3 linked regions of the Lonchura striata genome follow. The protein of the gene in region 1 interacts with the protein of each later gene in a pairwise test. Links are inferred from orthologs where the notes say so. Each region holds a gene or a part of one and is shown in the gene's direction. Other genes may lie near its edges. The genes, in order: REL, NEDD9 and FKBP1B.

Region 1 (3,747 bases):
AAGTTTTCAGATTGTAGAACAGCATTTTCAGCTGTTCTTCATTTATGTACATCCCAATAACCTTAGCTTTAGAAATAGCATAGTGGGGGGAAAAAGCAAGAACCTATCTGTTTTGTACCTCACTTGATTGTTCTTTCAGGCTTTTCTTGTTATTTTATTAATCTTTCTTTTTCAGGGATACTAATTGATTTAACTGCATTTTCACACGGGACAGTTTATTCCACTCCCAGATTAAAGATTTAAGAAAAAAAATTAAATTTTATTGTCAGCTAAGCAATCTTACACCACAGCTAGGTGTGGCCTTCCTGTTCCTTTGTGTTCCTCTTTTTTCAGGTGTTTTTTAATTTGCCCCCAGATTTGTTTGTTTGTTACTGACCTCTCCACCTGATCCAAACATGGGGCTGTTCCCAGTGTCCAACTCCTTGGCTTCACCTTGCTGTGTAGGGGCCAAGCTGTGAGATGCAGGATCTGGGATGCTCCAAGGGTTTGATAGAGTTGATCACTGTGACTGAATGGGCTCAGGTGATTATTTCTTTCTTTACCTGCAATCTTGGTCTATCTGTAGTATGTACAGCTTATTTATTGAATCAGAGTGGGCTGAGAGGGGCATTCAAAGTCTGTCTCCTTTCAACCCCCCGCTGTGGGTAGGAACATTTTCCCCTAGACTAGGCTTTTCCAAGCTCCATCCAGCCTGGCCCGGAGCACTTCCAAGGATAGGGCATTCCCAGCTTCTCTGGCTAGGCTTGTTCCACTGCCTCACCACGCTTACAGTAAAGAATTCCTTATCAGTATCTAATGTAACCCTGCCCTCTGTCAGTTTAAAGCCATTCCTCCTTGCCCTATTGCTACAGGCCTTGGTAAAAGTCTATCCTTGTCCGTCTTATAAACCCCGTGAGGGGCTTCGGTAGGCACTGGAAGGCTGCAGTACAGTCTTCCCTGGAGCTCTCCCTTTCCTGGGCTGACCCCTAGACTCCACGAAACCTAGAAAAAGACGGATAAGGAGAGTGCTTGGTCTCTCGAGGCTGACAGAGCGGGGGGTGTCGGAGCGATGCCCTGCGAGGGCGAGGGTACGGAATGAAGTAGGCTCTCGCTGTACCTGCCCCGCTCTGAAAGCAGAGGAGCTGAACTTTTCCCTCCGTACTTTTGGCTACCGGGCAGGACCGGACGACAGACTTGTGCCTGCTCTCCCCGCGGAGCCGCAGTCCCGGAGCGGGGTCTGCCGGTGCCGGGCGGGACGGGCGGGGCGAGAGCGGGCGGGGGGCGGCCGCGCACCGCCCCGCAGCTCAGCGCGCACGTCCGCCCGCCCGCCCCACGGGAAATTCCCCCTGAAAAGGGCGGCGAGCCCGGCAGCCGCGGCCGTCCGTGTGTCCCTGCGAGGTGTGCGGCCGGGCCGGAGCCCCGCGGCGCAGAGGCCGGAGCGGAGCTGTCAGCATGGCCGGTGAGCGGCGGGGCCGGGCGGGGGGCGCGGGCGGCGGCCCCGGGGGGCTCCGAGCACTCTCCGCCCTCCTTGGCTGGGCGCGTCGGGTGTTTACACTGCGAGGCTGAAGCGGCGATGGGTTGTTCGGATGAGTCGCTACGGGATCTTATGCCGCTGTTCGATTTCAAATGGATTTCTTCGGTCTTAAAATTGTGGAGTGGGGGCGTTTAGGTGTTAAAGAAGCGCGCGGGTCTCTGTCTGGGATGGAGGCAACAGGCTGAAGGTTGGGTCGTGCCCATCAGGATCCCGTTCTCATCGGAACTGTGAGAAATAGTGATGGCACAAATGCAAAGTAATGCAGATAAGGGATCGTGCTTTGAGTCATTACAACAAAATGCATAACTAAGTTTCTAGAGGCTAAATTAAACCGAGTTTGTCATCCTTTCGGGAGGCGTCTCTGGTATCTTCCTTAGGGTTAAAAAAACCCCCCTAAATTTAAAAACTCGGCTATACTAATTAGAATAGTATTTCTAGGCAAAGCTGCTTTTCAGAACATGAGTGTGTGTTCTGTTCCCACGTAGCAAGGTATGAGCTTTCACTCCTGATAAAAATATAGGTATGCTAACTATCAACATGGAGAGAAAACAGCTGGACTTGTGCTTTAAATGTTATGATGTATTTTAAAGTGGCAACAATTAAGCAGGAGAGAGCAGTTTCGGGTTTTTTTCTTTATTTTTTTTTTTTTCTTCGTGTCTTTATGTATTTTCAGTGTAATTAGGAACCAGATAAGGAATTTTTTCTGCGGGTGAAGTTTAGAACTTCCTGGTACTAGCTAGCTTTTGTTTTTTTTTGTGGTTGTTTTTTTTTTTTTTCATTTGGTTGCCGTTTTGTAATGTAACACGATAGTAAAGAGGAAGTTCGTGAGCGTTGTTTGGTCTCTGTTAGAATTTGGGCGGTTTATGGAGCCGTAGGTTGATTCTTTTTCAAATCAAATCGTGTTATGTTTGCATTTGCTTTTGCTTAAATTGGGGTGTGCTGTAACAAAGCTTTCGCCATCCTCCCGCTTAGCCTGAGGTGGTGCAGAAGGTTGTAAGTGGACAGATTCTTGCTTTTTAGAATTGACAGACTTTGTGCTACCAGGGATTTGTTCAGAGCAGTGACATCAGAGTTAAAGAGCGATGCTTCTCCCATTTGTGTCTCATTGCAGACACCTCGGGCCGGAGGGTTTCGGGTGATACTTTCACATCTTCCACAAAGACCCACAGCTGCTCTGCTTTCACACGCAGATGCTGATGGAGAGTCTGTTCACCGGGCACTCCTGGCCGTTCAAGAAAATGACAAAATTGGCAGTTCCTTCAGAGCCTGCTTGTTCGGAGCAAAGGAACGAGACAGAGCCCTTGATCGGGTTGTCACTTTGCTTGGTGGCAGCATGTCACACTTCCTCCCCCATGGCACCGGCTGTGTTAAACTTCAAACTATCACAGGTTTCTTGTCATGGAGAGGTCTGATGGAAGTCTGTTCTGAGTTTTAATGATTGTCCTTTTGTTCCTCTTTGTATTGCTCAAAATGTAAGAATAAAACACCCTTCAATTCTTGAATGAGCAAAGTGGCTGAACTCTTACAGCTGTCACTGCTTCGACCTCTTTTCCTTGCTGAACTCTTGGAGCTGTCATTGCTTTTGCCTCCTTTCCTTGCGTATATAATTGGGAGACTTGCTCTCCTATATTCTCTTTAAAATTATTCGGTGTTGTATTCAGAACAGGAGGGGGAAAAAACAATTCAATAACAAAAAGAATGACAGGCAGGTTATAATGTGTAGCACAATATTTCTATTGCTAGCATCTGTATAGGCAATTAGAATTAATTACAAAGACAAATTAAACTCTTAAGAACTTAGATGTAGGATTAGCTAGATTTTTTTTTCTTCCATTTCAAGTGCTTTATGGAGTAGTTGCGGGCAGGCAGGTAATAAATAGGAATAGCTGTGTGTTTCTCTTCTAGAATTAGTGAGAGCTTGTGTTTTGGTGTATCTCACATTTGTTTGACACACAAAGTGAGACCTGAGGAGGGTAGATCTGTAGTGACTGTGTGGGAGCTAACAGAGACTCTGTGTGTGTGTGAGAGAGCAGATTGTGACATAGTTAAGCTGTGCCACTTCACAAGCACATTGCTGATTTACAGAAATAGGGAACACCGGACACTTGGCTGCAGAGTGCTGGTAATACCTCTCATTCTCACAAACAATGCTGTGTGTTTCCTCTCTACACAAAACATGATGACACTGATAATCACGGCAGGGATGATAACGTGATTCTTGAATAGAGAGAGAG
Region 2 (3,747 bases), on another chromosome or scaffold:
CTAGAGGATTAGTCACATGAGAATTTAAGGATAACATTGTACTATGGAATGTAGTTATGTTTGTAATCTGCTAGTACAAGATTATTCTTTGCTATTTTTCCTTAGGCCATCAGAAATAGCCTTGAGTCCATTTGTGACCTAAAAATGTTGAGTAAGATTCAGCTTGGGCAAAAAGGAGAGAATTTATTTCCCGTTCCTCTAAACAATCTGGAGTATGTCCCCTATACAAAGATCCCTCCTATTGTGTGTACCATATTAATCATGCCTGATTAAGAGATCTAACTTGAAAAGCATGGAGGATCACCACACATCTATTTTCCCCACTCTTTCTTGCTTCCAAGATACCAGAGTTAATTATTACTCTCTTCCAAATAATCCTTATTTACAATGGTCACTCTTTATAATGAACATCTCCAGGCCATTAAAGCATTCTTGGCCTCTGGTGTCTAATCAGCGTTAAAATAGCAACCAGGCAAAGTGAACACTTGGCAGATTGATTTGAGCAGTAGTAGATATCTTCTGAAGACAAGTGAGAATAAAAATAATTGCAAAGACATGAACAAGCAGTGTTCAGCGCCTCCAAGAGCTACATGTGAGAAAAATGCCTGTGGGAGGGATGGACAGAAAAGGTTCACAGAATCACAGCATCAGTTAGGCTGGAAAAGGTCTCTGAGGTCATCAAGTCCAACCCTTGACCAAACACCATGTCAACTAGGCCATGGCACTGAGTGCCATGTCCAGCTGCTTCTTGAACACTTGCAGGGTTGGTGACTCAACCACCTTCCTGGGCAGCGGATTCAAATGGGTTACACACCCTTTGAATTAAGAAATTCTTCCTGTTCAACCTGAACATCTTGAGGCTATGTTCTCTTGTCCTGTTGCTGGCTGCCTGGGAGGAGAGACCCACCAGGGAGGAGAGACCCACCTCATATCAGGTGGTTACAGAGAGTGATCAGGTCCCCCACCAGCCTCTTTTTCTCCAGGCTAAACACCCCCAAGTTCCTCAGTCTCCCTTCACAGGACTTGCACCAGACCCATCACCAGCTCCGTTGCCCTTCTCTGGACCTGCTCCAGCACCTGAAGGTCTTTCAGTGAGAGGCCCAGCAGTGGACACAGGACTTGCGGCGTGGCCTCCCAGTTCCCAATACAAAGGATAACTGCCCTGGTCCTGCTGGCCACACTAGTGCTGACCCAGGCCAGGATACCCTCCTGGGCACACGCTGCCTCCTGTTCAGCCTGTCGACCCGTGCCCCCAGGTCCTTTTCCGCCGGGGAAAAGTAAAGGCGAGCAGCTTCGAAAAGGCAGAAAGGGTTCCGGGGAGGAGAGCCGCCAGCCCTCGCTCTGTGCGGGGCTCTCTCTCCGCGGCCATCGGCGGAGGGAAGTGGCGGAAGGCGCCGCACCCGGTCCCGAACCCGCGTCCCCGCCGCCCCGCTCCGCACCCCCTCCGGCGGCGCCGCCGCGGCCGGAGCGCGTGGGCGGGGCGCCGGGGCGGGGCCGGCCATTGGCTGCGCGGTTGTGGGGGCGGTGCCATGCAAATGAGCGCGCAGGGCTGGCGCGGCGGCGCGCGGCGGGGCGCGCAGAGCGCGTGGGGATGCGGCGGGGCGCGGAGGCGCAGCCATGAAGTACAAGGTGAGCGCGGCGGGGCGCGGAGCCCGCACGGCAGCCCCCGGACGGCCCGGGGCTCCCCTCCGCACCTCCTCAAGGCGAGCCGTGTGCTCACGGGCCGGCCAGGTCTCCCTTCTGCCCTCCGCTGCGCTGTCTCCAGGCGCGGAGCCCCAGGGAAGGTGTCGGCGGGGAGTGGGAAACGAGGGGGCAGCGAAGGGGACGGGCTGCGGGGACCCCCGGGTGCTGTGTCGGTGTTGGCTGTGCGGGGAGAAGGAGCTCCTCTCGCTTTTCCCGCTGGTGCCGGCCCTGAATAACGGGGTGAGCCCGGGATCGCGGGAAAGGTGGGGATGCGGTGCGTGATGGCCAGGCGCGTTTGGGACAGGTACCCCCGATCCTCCCCGGGAGCTCATGCACCTCCTTCCAGGCGCTTGTGGATGACTCCTCATCACGGTGCGGTCTGTTTGATGGATCACAAGCGAGGGGGGAAAAAAAGAACCCTAACATTTTTTTTTAATGGGTAGCCTATGCCCCGTGTTAATTCCTATCATCCCCGCTTATTAAAATCGCTTTTAGCGACCTTTTACCAGAAGGGGTGGCGGTTGGTTGGTTTTTTGGTTTTTTTACTTTTTTCAAAAGACACAAATGTGGAGCCTTTCATCCTAATATTACTCAAAAATGTCTGGGCAAGGTACAGAATTGCCCACGGGGCATTAGATTACTGTACAGACATACCGTAATCTTGTGTGATTGGAAAAAAAGGGGGAGGGAAGGAAAAACTTTCCTTGCCCAGCCAAAAATAACTTCAGTGTCAATAAAAAGGTGATTTTGGAAATGTCACACGCTATATACTTGGAGACTAAGTTACTTTGGAAGTGAAGTCCATCTTGGAACTAAACTTAGGCAGCATGGTCTGAAAGAGTGCTGATGGAGTGGCAGTGTGTGTGAGAAGTACGAGTGATACCCAGGTAAATGTGCACAGGTTTTTATGTTGTTCTGTACGTCTCTGAGCTCAGGCCAAGTTTTCAGGGTCTCTCAAGCCAAACTTTGGGAAAGGTCAGAGTTAAGTTTCCAAAGCAACTGCCAATTTCACCATCTCATGGAAGGACAAGGGGAAAAGAAATTGTGTTAGATGCGGGTTGACAAAGGTAATCCATGGCTTTCACAATTTTGATGTGGAGCTCATGGCTTTCTTTTTTAAATTGTGTCTCAAACAACTGATTGATTTCAAGTCTGAGATAAAATTAATCTCATCTCTTCTATCTACTCCACCTCTGATCAGTCCAGGTAGACTTTACACCTGCCCAGAGAAGCTGTTACTCTGAACTGAAAACATCAGGCACTCGGGAGTAGAAGAACAGTGTTGCTGTTAGTCCAAAGCTCACAGTCTTCTTTCAGGCTGCCCAGGGCCAGGCAACACTTGTATCCCAGTAGCAAAGTAATGGTCCTGCATAGTTATACAGCTTCCTGATTTCTGTATGTAGGCCAGTGGCACTGCAAGAATAGGGACAGATAAGGTGACTCAAAAGGGGGAAGTCTTCCCTGTTCTGTAATGTTTCCTTTGCCCTGTGTTGTGGGAATGAGCATTGTGGATTTGGTTTGTGATTACGTAATTCTAGACAGAGAAGGCTAGATGGAGAAAAGAACAAGCCATTAAAAATAAATAAATAAAAAGAAGATTGAGGGGTTTGGCCTCAAAAGCCTTCTTGCTGGATTATGGTTGTTACTTTCCCTGGGAATTGTGAAGCAGTTACGCTGTTTAACTGGGACAAACATTCTTAGATCTATTTCATATCCCTAGTGTAACACACAAAGAAAACACCTGCACACTTGGTCTTTTTTCTTTCTGTATTTTCTCTCTTTCTTTTATCTTCCTATAGGAAAACATTTTTTTTTTTATTGTACACATGAAATAAAGGAACGTAGAATGCTAATGGGCTGCCTGGGGACATATCATCACTTCAGAGGAGGCTTAGCATCCAGGTGTAGATTTGTCTCTGTTTAACTGCTCCCAGTGTTGTACTGGGGGATGTCACTCCTTACTTTCATTGTGATAGCCCATAAGGCCTCATTTAAAGAAATAAGTGAAATGCTCATTATAGCTTAATTCAGAATTTTAACAGTAGGACAGAACAGGAACTGATT
Region 3 (3,747 bases), about 81 Mb from region 1:
CTGATCAGAAGTCAAATGACACTCTGAGACTGGCAATGGAAAAGAATCCCGTTTCAGAATTTCCACTGTTACAGACCTCCTCTGATAAACTTCAGTAAGTGCCTGCTTATTCTGTACATGCTACCTGCAGATGCAGAATTCACTGGAATGGGAGGCAGGTGAAAGGAATCCATGTTCAGCCCTCATTACTGCTTCTGAACTCGCGTGAGCTCTTGATTTTCCTCACCTGCCCATTTTTGGGAGTGAGAGGCAGCCAGTCCTGGTATTTCAGAGTATCTGACCCACAAAGAAAGATAGATACAATTGAGCACCCAGGAGAAGAAACAGTCTGATCAGAGTAATGTGAAAAGCTGTGTGGAGATGGTCAGTGTAGTTCAGAGCATGCATGCAAGAGCAAGGGCCACATTATTGCAGTTACGAACCAGCACAGTAATTCCTCAGTTCAGTCATCCTGACAACTGCCCACACAGAGAAAGATCCTTTTCCCTGAAGAGAACCCAGTTTGTAGCAGATAAAAATCTTGAAAAAGCAATGTCAGAGAAGTGCAAGTTGGAATTAGATGGATACAGACAGCTCTTTCAGTTGAAAAACTGATGACGTTGTGGTTCCATTTTTATTTTTAACTCAGAAAACACAGAACTGCAAACAGAACTATTCCTTTAGAGGCAGTGGAAACTCCTGAGATTCGAATACACTGTAAGTGCATGAGGAAATAGTCTGTTTCAGGTACATTCCCCAGAAGTAGTTGTAGCAAGGTTGAATATGTAATCTTACATCATGGGAACACCACACATAAATAGATTTTCCAGTTTAAAACATGGATATGAATAGGAACTTAGACACTGTTTTACACTGAAACTCAAGGTCATGCCAGCCTGCTGGAGACTTGCCGCTGCTGCTGCTGTGTGGGGTCACCAGCGGTGGGTACCACTGCCCCGATGCTGCCGTTCACCGGTAGAACCGGGGGGACATTCCCTTCAGCGCACACGTCGTGCGAGCACGGATGCCTTCCTCCATGGCTCTTTGTACCGGGAAATTCCGACCCTCCACTCGCACTCGGCCGTGTCCTGGTGTCTGGACGGGCTGAAGCACGGCGCTTGGTTTCCCTGTGTGGCCAGCGCGCCTGCAGCAGTACCGCACCGGTACCCCCTGCTCCCGCAGCCGCCCTGAGCCCTCCGCCGCTCGGACTGCGCACGGGCACGGGCACCGGGGGGAAACGCCGGCGAGACCCCCGGAGGAGCGCTCCGCCGGGCACCATCGCTAAAGCCAGCCCTGCCCGAGGGATGGCAGCAGCACCCTCCGCACGGCCGTGGGGCGGGGGAGCGATGCCGGCGGGGGATGCCCCCGCCGCAAGGTTCCCCTGGTCCCCGCGGCCCCCGGGCGCTCGGAGCGGGGGCGGGCGGACCCCTCCCCTCCCCTCCCCGTCCTCCCCGCCCCTGCCCCGCATTGGCTGCGGGCGCTGACGGGCAGCCGGGGCGGCCCCTGCCCGCGGCCGCCCAGGGGCACTGCCCGCACTGGGGGTCCGGCCGCGCCGGGGAGCGGGGCTGAGTGGAGCCGGTGCCGCCATGGGGGTGGAGATCGAGACCATCTCTCCGGGAGACGGTACGAAGCCGTGCCGGGGGCAGCCCCGCAGCGCGGGGACGGAGGGTCCGGCCGGACACCGCGGGGCTCCGGGAGCGAGGGAGCCGCGTCCCCGCCGGCGGCGGAGCGGGGAGCGCGGGGAGCGCGGGGAGCGGGCGGGCGGGAGGGAGGCACGGCCGCCCCCGCAGCGCCGCGGGCACGAACCCCCGGTGCGGGAGAGGCGGAGCGCGGCCAGGCGCCCGCCCGGGGTCGCGGCGGCGGCAGCGGCGGCGAGGGGGCCGGGGTTCCTGTGGCATCCGCTGACAGCTGCACGGCCCGAGCGCGGGGTCAGCGCCAGCGCCCGGCGGGGAGCCCAAACTTTCCCCGGTGGCGAGCCCGGCCTCGCCGGGGCCACCGACCGTTCGTGCCGGCATCCCCCGGCAAGGAGCCGCCGCCTCCCGGTCCAGCGTGGGATGCTGGCGAGGGCTGATGTGCAGCCCGGGTGGCAGTCACCTCTCCTTGGCGCTTGGCTTTCGTGAGCCAATTCGCAGTGTTCTACTCTTCCTTGGCATTATAATTCCGTAAGGTTTTTGTGTTTTGTTTTTTGTTTTTTTTTTTTTTTTTTTTCTTTTAAGATAATGTGATTTCTAACATACAAATGTAGCTATATAATAGGCCAGATTCATCACTGGCTGATATGCAACCATAAATAATTTGTTCAAGTTGATTGCAGATTAAGTTTCTTGGCCCAGTATCTTTCCATTCTTTGTGTATGCTTTCTAATTGGCTTCTCCCTCTGTGCTGTTTTGCTCTAGAGATCGAATTCTTCTCTTGGTTTCACAGATGTAAAAAAAGAATACTTATACCCACATAAATAATGGTGGTGAGTTGGGAGTAGGAAGGAGGATGGAACTACCTCACAGTAGTACTTACTATCTATTAAATAGATCACGGCTGTCATTGTAAGTAATATGTGATTCCAAATAAGGCTATATGGATTAGTTCTCTTGGTTGCAAGTCTTAATCAAAATCAGCTGACTTTAAACACTGTCTTAAGCCACAGTGAGTCAGTGGTCTTGCGAATCTCTGCTTTTAATTTATTTTTGATGTGAAATTATGTAGCTTCATTGGCTTTGCTGATGGTAAACTCACAGAGCAGAGTGTGTGTCCATAAGGTCTGAAACTGCTTTTCTCAGATCTCTGTATAATAGTGGATCATTTTAATAATACCTGTTTTATTGGCGGTAGGATTCATCTCACATAACTTTTCTCAGGTTAGTTGGCTAGTCTAAAGCAGTCTTCTGGGTTTTCTCTGTGGCCATCTCGAGGGAATAATTTGTCTTGCCTTCCTTTGGATAGGCTGGCTTTCTCTCAAAGCACTGCTAATTCTTTGCTGTCAATAGAGGAAGCCCAGGAGACTGGCATGCGATAGTTGCCCGTGGTTTAAATGGCTGTGAATTTAAAAGAGATGGATCCCACTTTAGCATACCATGGTGACCTTAAAAGATTCCTGCTGCATTTTGTGCAACGTGCAATAAGGGATATTCCAGCCAGCCAAGCCAATGAACAAGGCTGTTCAGGTAGCCCTTAGAAGTACCACTTTATCAATTTTTGTGTTGTAAATCTTGGTTCATCATATTATCCTGCCCTTCACCACTTATTGCTCATGTGGTTTTGGCATGTGATCCCTAAGGCCATAGCTTGTGTGCTACCTGCTGGTTTATACCCTTTGAAGTGCTCTGTAATGCAGAACTTGTTATCATGTTAATTTTGACCAAACAGCCAAAAAGCCAACTAAGAGATGAGCCTCAGTTTCATAGAATCACAGAATGGTTTGGTTGGAAGGGACCTTAGTGATCATCTCCTTCCAACTCCCCTGCCATGGGCAGGGACATGTTCCACTAGACCAGGTTGCTCCAAGCCCCATCAATCCTGACATTGAATGTTTCCAGAGATAGGGCATCCACAGCTTTTGTGGACAACCTAACTCAATCCCCAGTTTTTAACTTTCTATCAAGGATGTTCCTTAATAATTAACCACACTGATATTTTTAATTTCTTCTGAACCTGGGCACTCCCCTGGCCAACCTTGAGAAATCATGGTTAGTATCTTTAATACACCATTGGCACCTAATTGAGCCTTGAGAGTCATCCCTTAGGTTTCAGTACCTTTAGCAGTGCCTAGAA

What was found.
Region 2: the proteins of REL (region 1) and NEDD9 interact in binary tests that used the Homo sapiens proteins (3 or more experiments, as listed by UniProt). The link is inferred for Lonchura striata from reciprocal best matches to the Homo sapiens genes REL and NEDD9.
Region 3: the proteins of REL (region 1) and FKBP1B interact in binary tests that used the Homo sapiens proteins (3 or more experiments, as listed by UniProt). The two-hybrid records come from large-scale screens. The link is inferred for Lonchura striata from reciprocal best matches to the Homo sapiens genes REL and FKBP1B.

What each region holds. Positions count from the first base shown.
Region 1 is NC_134605.1:25,355,006-25,358,752, reverse strand, and holds the start of REL (proto-oncogene c-Rel), read left to right. Parts: upstream 1-1,320; 5' UTR 1,321-1,431; coding exon 1,432-1,438; intron 1,439-3,747. UniProt on the Homo sapiens protein: Proto-oncogene that may play a role in differentiation and lymphopoiesis.
Region 2 is NC_134603.1:91,623,291-91,627,037, forward strand, and holds the start of NEDD9 (enhancer of filamentation 1), read left to right. Parts: upstream 1-1,558; 5' UTR 1,559-1,617; coding exon 1,618-1,629; intron 1,630-3,747. UniProt on the Homo sapiens protein: Scaffolding protein which plays a central coordinating role for tyrosine-kinase-based signaling related to cell adhesion. As a focal adhesion protein, plays a role in embryonic fibroblast migration.
Region 3 is NC_134605.1:106,845,854-106,849,600, forward strand, and holds the start of FKBP1B (peptidyl-prolyl cis-trans isomerase FKBP1B), read left to right. Parts: upstream 1-1,467; 5' UTR 1,468-1,565; coding exon 1,566-1,602; intron 1,603-3,747. UniProt on the Homo sapiens protein: Has the potential to contribute to the immunosuppressive and toxic effects of FK506 and rapamycin. PPIases accelerate the folding of proteins. It catalyzes the cis-trans isomerization of proline imidic peptide bonds in oligopeptides.